Linked DNA regions of Macaca fascicularis. The protein of the gene in region 1 interacts with the protein of each later gene in a biochemical or structural test. Links are inferred from orthologs where the notes say so. Each region holds a gene or a part of one and is shown in the gene's direction. Other genes may lie near its edges.

Evidence for each region.
Region 2: the proteins of UPF2 (region 1) and UPF3A form a complex in vitro, tested with the Homo sapiens proteins (2 studies listed by IntAct, with this or other methods). The link is inferred for Macaca fascicularis from reciprocal best matches to the Homo sapiens genes UPF2 and UPF3A.

The regions. Positions count from the first base shown.
Region 1 is NC_088383.1:12,953,809-12,958,051, reverse strand, and holds the start of UPF2 (regulator of nonsense transcripts 2), read left to right. Parts: upstream 1-1,291; 5' UTR 1,292-1,637; intron 1,638-1,709; exon of another isoform or gene 1,710-1,796; intron 1,797-4,243. UniProt on the Homo sapiens protein: Involved in nonsense-mediated decay (NMD) of mRNAs containing premature stop codons by associating with the nuclear exon junction complex (EJC).
Region 2 is NC_088391.1:104,525,453-104,529,262, forward strand, and holds part of UPF3A (regulator of nonsense transcripts 3A), read left to right. Parts: intron 1-2,147; exon of another isoform or gene 2,148-2,150; coding exon of another isoform or gene 2,151-2,190; coding exon 2,191-2,289; intron 2,290-2,409; coding exon 2,410-2,520; intron 2,521-3,176; coding exon of another isoform or gene 3,177-3,400; exon of another isoform or gene 3,401-3,532; intron 3,533-3,810. UniProt on the Homo sapiens protein: Involved in nonsense-mediated decay (NMD) of mRNAs containing premature stop codons by associating with the nuclear exon junction complex (EJC) and serving as link between the EJC core and NMD machinery.

The DNA.
Region 1 (4,243 bases):
GGGATTACAGGCGCTCGCCACCACGTCAGGCTAATTTTCTATTTTTAGTAGAGACGGGGTTTCACCATGTTGGGGCCAGGCTGGTCTGGAACTCCTGACCTCAGGTGATCCACCAGCCTCGGCCTCCCAAAGTGCTGAGAATACGGGCATGAGGCACCATGTCTGGCCAGAGGTAAAGCTTCTTAAGGTAATCCGACAAAATGAGAAAAAGAGACCTTGAAGAGAAGTGTGGGTGGCTATCACCAACATGGTATTTGGGGGCAGTTCTCATCATTGTTTATCAAGGCTGCAGAATAGCTGTATTCACCTTTCTCTTTTACTACCCTTTAAATGATTGACCTATGTGTAGTGTGTATTTTTTTAAAATACAGGAAGCAGCAACACTCAGTATGAGAGGATAATTTGCGTGCTAAGAGTAAATGGGGAAGCAAACAGTAAATAGAGACAAACGGGCAAAGGTTGAGTCATAGGGAACCTGGACTTGCCTCAAGTATTTGTGGTTGGTAGTAGCTCATTATGTGTGCCTAGACACCAGGTGGGGCCCCCGCAGGCCAAGCAAACGTCAAGACCAGTTTCGCACCCTTGTTCCTCTAGCTCCGGACCAGCCAGAGCCACCTACTCGGATCATGTTCGCAGAACCCAGCACTGTTTCGAGGCCAGATGCACCATTTCAGAAATTCAGTGGGAAATAAGCAGTGTGGATAAACTGATACCCCATTTTTAAAAGTCGGCCTGGGTTCGCATTCAGAAGAAATGTCGACGCTAGCCATTTTTTTTATAAATGGGTGATTTGATAACTCAGGGAGGTCTTTCCACTGTAATAAAAATTTGCTTGTTAGAACTGGGTGTTTTCTAAGAAGTGTATGGAAAAAGCCTTGATTCGTCTTCGCCCTGGGTGGTTTTTACGTCGAACACCTACAACTGCTACAGAAATCCCCCCGCGGGACTTTTGATGTCTTCTAGGGCATTCTTAAAACTAGACCCATTCCTAAGCGACTCCCACCTCCCAAACCAGCCATATGCTTTAGTTTCTCCAGTTTCCAATTTTCTAAATCTTCAACGTCTCCCCTCGAATTAGTCCAATCAAACTTTCTCTTCTTAGACCTCTTCCTTACGTTCGCACCAGGAAACTCCCAGGAGAATCACGTGCCCAGGCTTGTCCTTAATGGCGCTCCGTAACCCTCCCACTATTCCACCACCCTTCCTCGCCTCCCGTGAGCTCCGCCCCGCCCCATTCGCGCTTCCCACCCCCATCCCCCGCGAAGTGCTTGCGCCTGCGCAGCTCCAATTCAGGCGCTTTCCCTTTCCTGGCGACCAATCCACTTCCTGCCTCGGGTCCTCGGAACACTCCACCTCTCCGCTGGGGCCCTGGCTTGAGGTGCTGGTAGTGGCTACCTTACGCATTACCTGTCTGAAAAATTCGCTCTTCTCATCGACTGGGGAATTTGGAAGAGCCATTAAGTGGGTGGCACTTATATGAGCCTTTGCCTCGGACCCGCCACCCCAGAGTCAAGCTGAGGGCATCGGCATGCCGCGGGGAGGGCGATCAGGACTGTTTTTAATCGGGCAGTCGCGCGGACGGCCTTTTCCCTCTCGCCTCCTTCCGCCCCGCCCCCACTCTCAGCCCGGCCGCGCTGGTGAGTGGCGGGCGGGAGGGCCGGCGGGCGGAGGGAGGAGGGGGAGCTAAGGGAAGGCGGGCCCTCGGCTGCGAGATAGGTGGGGGGAGGGGAGGGGAGAGCCCGAGCGCTGGAGTTGGTGCTGGGAAACCCGGGGCTAATGTTGACAACAGGCTCGAGGTGAGTCCCGGGGATCCTCCTTCCCCTCCGCTCCAACGATCGGGAAGAAACGGGGCTGGGGGGCACCGGCCTAGAGTCCTACTCCCTGGGGGACCCCAGAGGCGACTCCGCACTCTAGCTCTCCGGGGTCGGCGAGCAGTGGAGGGACCGCGGGTCCGGCGTCGTTCTTCTCAGACCCCCTCTCTCCGAGGCTCCCATCAACGCGGGAGCCCCCGGGCCGGGCCGGGCATGGGGGGCGGTGGAGGAGGTGCCTGCCCCACATGCCTGGGCCGGGCCTCGGGGCTGGAGGCGGGGAGCCCGCGGTGGAGGGGCGAAGGTGTTCGGGGGCGTGGAGGAGAGCGAGGGGAGGTCGGGGGAAGCTCCTCGAGAGCCGGGAGGGAAGCGAGGGCGAGGAAGTGGGGAGGGCGCGTGTGTGGGAGGCTGCGGAGTGGGGAGACCGGCCGGGGAGGCTTCTGTGGCGAGGGAGTGTGGGGCGAGAAGTTGGGGTTGGGGCAGCGATGGTCTGCGAAGGTGACCGTGGATACCTGTGGGAAGGGGAGTTGTGGCGGGGAAGTGGTGTGGTGGGTGTAGACGTTGCCACACCACCAGAGCAGGGGTTTGTAGGAGAGGTGTGTGTAGGCGAAGGGGCTTGGGGTGTATCTGGGGATGGTGGGCATGGGCTGTTTGGTTGACTTCCTTTTAATCACATAGGCTGGTTATTCTTCACTTTGCCTTCACCCCTTCAAGACTCCAGGCACTCTCTTCTTGCTAGGACTGTTGGACTAAGGAAGTGACCACAGGATATTTGGTCCCCAGGTTGGCAGAGCAGAGCCAGCTGGGTCCACTCTGGGGTGATCGGACCTTCAGTTGCCTTGCTCTTCTTGGAGGACTTACACGACACGAAGTGATGCATCAGATCAAAGTGAAACGCTCGCTGACGCTTTATCTCATTTCCATAGTTCTTAGGTGTTCCTTAACATCGTCAGTCTCCTCATTTGTGAGCTGGGACAATTTCTAACAATTCTTAACTAAACGTCCTTTATACTAAGGATGTTCTTTAAAAAATAAAGTCAGAAACTGAGAGAGAGTGTTCCTGTGCTGTTCTGTCCTTACAACATTTTGACTAAGAATTGAAAGGTGAAACAGCATTCTCTCACTCTGGAGTATTTTCGGAGCACTCTGATTGGGATTTCATACATAACCCATATGGTACTTTGCAAGGGAATATCTTTAAAAAGGAAACACCCCCTTTTGTGCCCTCTTCCCCCCAGTACACTCCACTGGTACTTTTACTAGTAAATTAGTTTTACTTTCTTTTGGGAGTTCAGAATATATTTAGAATACCAAATAAAATATACAGTTCAAGTGACAGGACACTATTTTGGGAGCTAGGAAGGTGGTTTTAAAGCATGGTTTCCTTTTAAGGGTAGTCTGAATATAAATTGTATTCAGCAAACTAATTTGTAACAGCTAATCGGATTCCAGCGAAAAGATCACGATTTTTTCTTGTTACTATCTTGAGAAAGGACCTTTTTAAAATTGTAGTTTGGACTAGAAAAACTTTTGGAAACACTTTAGATGACAAGTTTGGCTGTTAAAGCTTGAAGTTATTGAAATAAGAATTTTAGTATTTTATTAAATATCACTTAGTGCTCAGTTTCTTTTCTTTTTTTTTTTTTTTTGAGACGGAGTCTAGCTCTGTTGCCCAGGCTGGAGTGCAGTGGCCAGATCTCAGCTCACTGCAAGCTCCGCCTCCCGGCTTTACGCCATTCTCCTGGCTCAGCCTCCCGAGTAGCTGGGACTACAGGCGCCTGCCACCTCACCCCGCTAGTTTTTTGTATTTTTTAGTAGAGACGGGGTTTCACCGTGTTAACCAGGATGGTCTCGATCTCCTGACCTTGTGATCCGCCCGTCTCGGCCTCCCAAAGTGCTGGGATTACAGGCTTGAGCCACCGCGCCCGGCCAGTGCTCAGTTTCTTAAGTGGACATAAAACAAACGTGTTTTGAGGTGAATCATGGTGTTTGTATATTTTATTCGTTTTAGTGTAGGTAGTGAAAAAGAGTACTGGGTAGTGAGTGTTGATCCAGCCATGGAAACTATCTGTGTAATCTTGGGTAGGTGACTCTGCTGCTGTCCTTGGAATGTAAAAATTGAGGATAGAAGTAGATAAAATCTAATAGTCTTTATTTGACTTTACAAATCTCTCATTGTATGCTGAACTTCTCAGTGTTCTTTGTGAGCGAACATTTATTAATGCCTCCCTCGTGCTAGTTACTATGCTAGAATTTTAAGAACTTTACAAGATAGATAGCAGTATATCCTTCTTATTGATAAATACGTGGACTCAGAGAAGTTGTTGCCTGATTTCTGTAGCTATCAGGCTGCAGAGTTGGGAGGCAGATTTAAAATCTATCGACTTCCAAGCCCATGTATGTTGTTTTCACAAGTTGCATTGCTGCCTCTTCGT
Region 2 (3,810 bases), on another chromosome or scaffold:
TCACCCCTGTAATCCCAGCACTTTAGGAGGCCAAAGGCGGGTGGATCACGAGATCAGGAGTTTGAGACCGGCCTGAGCAACAACGTGAAACCCCATCTCTACTAAAAATTCAAAAATTAGCCAGGCGTGGTGGCAGGCACCTCTAGTCCCAGGTACTCAGAAGACTGAGACAGGAGAATTGCTTGAACCCGGGAGGCGGAGGTTGCAGTGAGCTGAGATCATGCCACTGCCTCCCAGCCTGGGCGACGGAGTGAAAAAATACGTATGTGTATGTACGTATATATATGTGTGTGTGTGTATATATGTAAAATATATGTAACATGGCCAGGTGTGATGGCTCACTCCTGTAATCCCAGCACTTTGGGAGGCTAAGGCGGGCAGATCGCTTGAGGTCAGGAGTTTGAGACCAGCCTGGCCAGGATGGTAAAACCCTGTCTCTACTAAAAATAAAAAAATTAGCCAGCCGTCATTGTGCGTGCCTGTAATCTCAGCTACTTGGGAGACTGAGGTATGAGAATCACTTGAACCTGGGAGGCAGAAGTTGCAGTGAGCCGAGGTGTCACTACATTCTAGCCTTGGTGACAGAGCGAGACTCTGTCTCAAGAAAAGTCACAAAATTTATACCGTACTGTTTTCCACAGCAACTGTGCCATTTTACATTCCCACCAGTAGTGAGCAAGTCAGTCCTTATTTCCGGTTCTACTTTGTTGTTGTTGTTTAGTTTTTTAAATAGAGACGGGGTCTCGCTAAGTTGCCCAGGCTGGTATCAAGCGATTTCCCCCACCTTGGCCTCCCAAAGTGCTGGGCTACAGGCGTGAACGGCCGCCCCGCCGTTGTTTTGATGGTCTCTGGCCTAAGCCTGTGCTTTTGATGTCATATGCAAAAACCCATTGCCAAATCCATTGCCGTGGAGCTTTTTCCCCTGTGTTTTTTCCTAAGTGTTTTATGGTTTCAGGTCTTATATTTAGGTTTGATCCTTTTCGAGTTACTTTTTGTATATGGTGTTAGGTAAGGGTCCAACTTCATTCTTCTCGCTATGGATATCCAGTTTTCCCAGCACTAGCTGTTGAAAAGACTTTCTTTTCCCCATTGAATGGTCTGGGCACCCTTTTCAAAAATCAGTTGACCAAATATTACAAAGGTTTCTTTCTGGGCTCTTTATTTTATTCCCTCGATGGATGTGTCTGTCTGTGTGGCAGTACCACACTGATTACTTTTAGCTTTGGAATCAGGGACTATGTCATCTGCCATTGAATGAGTATCCACTGTGTGCTAGGCCTTGTGGGTGGAGCGGTGACTTGGACATCATCCCTGCTGGTCCAGTGCCCTACTGTCTCCCTGATTCTGACTTTATTCTGGATAGTGGAGGTTGGCACAAAAATGGCTCCCAGATAAGGGAGTTATAATTCAGTCACCTGACCATTACTGACAAGTCTAAAAATGACTCAGTGGGTTTAGTACCAAGGTAGCAGTGTTCCATTTGATGATTTGGCATATAGCAGGTTCTCTTAGTGAACATTTCTCTTTGTGTATTCATTTTTCCCCCACATAGCAACAAAGTTAGTTTCTAATGGCTTCCATTCTCTACTTTTATCAGAAGCAGATTTCACCTGGAATATTCTATAAACCCTTTGAAGCTCTCAATTTTAGCCATGGTGTCCTCTAAGCAAAGTAATTTTCTTAAACTTAAATAACAAATTGATAGTTGAATTAACCTTTTAAAATAAAATGTAAAACGTAGTTAAGAAATCTGATTATTTAAAGGTATTCCAACAATAAATTATTTGGGATGGGGCTGGGGAGGTCAGGTTTATTGAGGTGTAAGTTATATATGGTAGAAGTCACCCTTTTAAAGTGAACAATTTGATGAATTTTGAACAAATTCAGTTACACAACCACCACAACATGATGGATTGTTTTGTTTAATAAATAATTGTTCTTCCTACCATGAGTTCATCCTTGTTTTAGTCTGGAGTTTGCCATGTGAAAGTTGCAGGTGCTTGAAAATGTAATTGTAGGTTTTTAAATTTTTTTTTTTTAATCTCTTACTGGAAGGATGAATTATAGTTTAAATAGTAATAATACATTGTCATTGTTACACTTACTCTTTAAGTAAGCTAGGTCATTATTTTCTAAAATGAATGTAGTAGAATTTCAGAATGGCTTCTGGAACATGTTTCCTGTTAAAAGGCCTAGAATATCCTGCAGTGGTAGAGTTTGCTCCGTTCCAGAAGATAGCCAAAAAGAAGCTGAAAAAAAAAGATGCCAAGACTGGAAGCATCGAAGATGGTGAGCCCTTTCCAAGTGCTACATTATGAAGCTGCCAAATTAAGAACACTGAGCAAATGTAATTCTCCTGTAGATGGGAAAGATTATATTTATTTTCTTTCTGTTTTTTTTAATGTCTAGATCCAGAATATAAGAAGTTTTTAGAAACTTACTGTGTGGAGGAAGAGAAGACCAGCACCAACCCTGAGACTCTGCTGGGGGAGATGGAGGCGAAGACAAGAGAGCTCATTGGTCTGTGCTCATTTCTTCTCTTTTCTTTATTGAGAGATTTACTCGTAGAGGATATACTTTTTTTTTTCTTGATTGTGATAAGTTGAAACTTGTTACAGGCTTGGCAGAAATGTAGAGTAATTTCCAGTTTTGACAAAAGAATGGCAAGATGGCCGCATGGGAAAATATTTCTGAGCATTGGTTGATGGAGAGCACGTGATTTTTTTAGTTACGATCCTTTTAAGTTGTGATGCTTCGGAATGAGCAGTGGCGAAGACACATGAATGGCATGTGCCTGACAGCGTCAGGGAAAGCGCGTTGTGTCGCAGAGTTGAAGTCAGTGGTCACAGACGGATGCCTCAGGAGCCCGTAGGAATGAGATGTTTTGCTCGTGGTGAGGTCATCTTGCTGCTCTTCAACAGCAATGCCAGGCTCCCTGAGCCAAGCCAAGCCAGCTTGTGGATAAGCCCGGCCAGAGCACAGAATCGAGTTTAAATCCAGCCTTCCACCCCATGCCCACAAGTCGTGTACTTTAGAAATAGTTCTCCGTAGCACTGACGTGAAAATCAGGCAGACAGTTGTCGTTTAGTCCCAGACACACCTGGAAGTGTTTCTCCTCTCTGTGGATCTCCTTTCCTCAAAGCCCCCGTTCTTCACCCCTCACCTCTCCCACCCAGGCTGTGCCCTGCCCCCCCATCAAGAGGAATGTACTTTGGGAGGCCAAGGCGGGCGGGTCACAAGGTCAGGAGTTCGAGATCAGGCTGGTCGACGTGGTGAAACCCCGTCTCTACTAAAGATACAAAAACTCAGGTGGGCATGGTGGTGGGCGGCTGTAGTTCCAGCTACTCGGGAGGCTGAGGCAGGAGAATCGCTTGAACCCAGGAGGCGGAGTTTGCAGTGAGCTGAGATCACACCACTGCACTCCAACCTGGGCGACAGAGCGAGACTCCATCTCAAAAAACAAACAAAAGAAATTGATGTGTCATGACAGCCACATTGTCCGTCTCCCACCACATAAACTCCCTCGTTTGGTTTCCCCAGTGGAACTATATTTTCATCTTCACAGTTGCCACACAGAAAAGAAAAGTTCAGGAATTTTGTAAATGTTGATTGAATTAATAAGAAAGGTCAATGTTATTGAAATAGTCCACTCACTTTCTTCATTTGTCTAATAATAAAGCTTTTTTTTTTTTTTTCTGAGACGGGGCCTCACTCTGTTGCCCAGGCTGGAGTGCAGTGGCACAATCTCAGCTCACTGCAACGTCTGCCTTCTGGGTTCAAGCAATTCTGCCTCAGCCTACTGACTAGCTG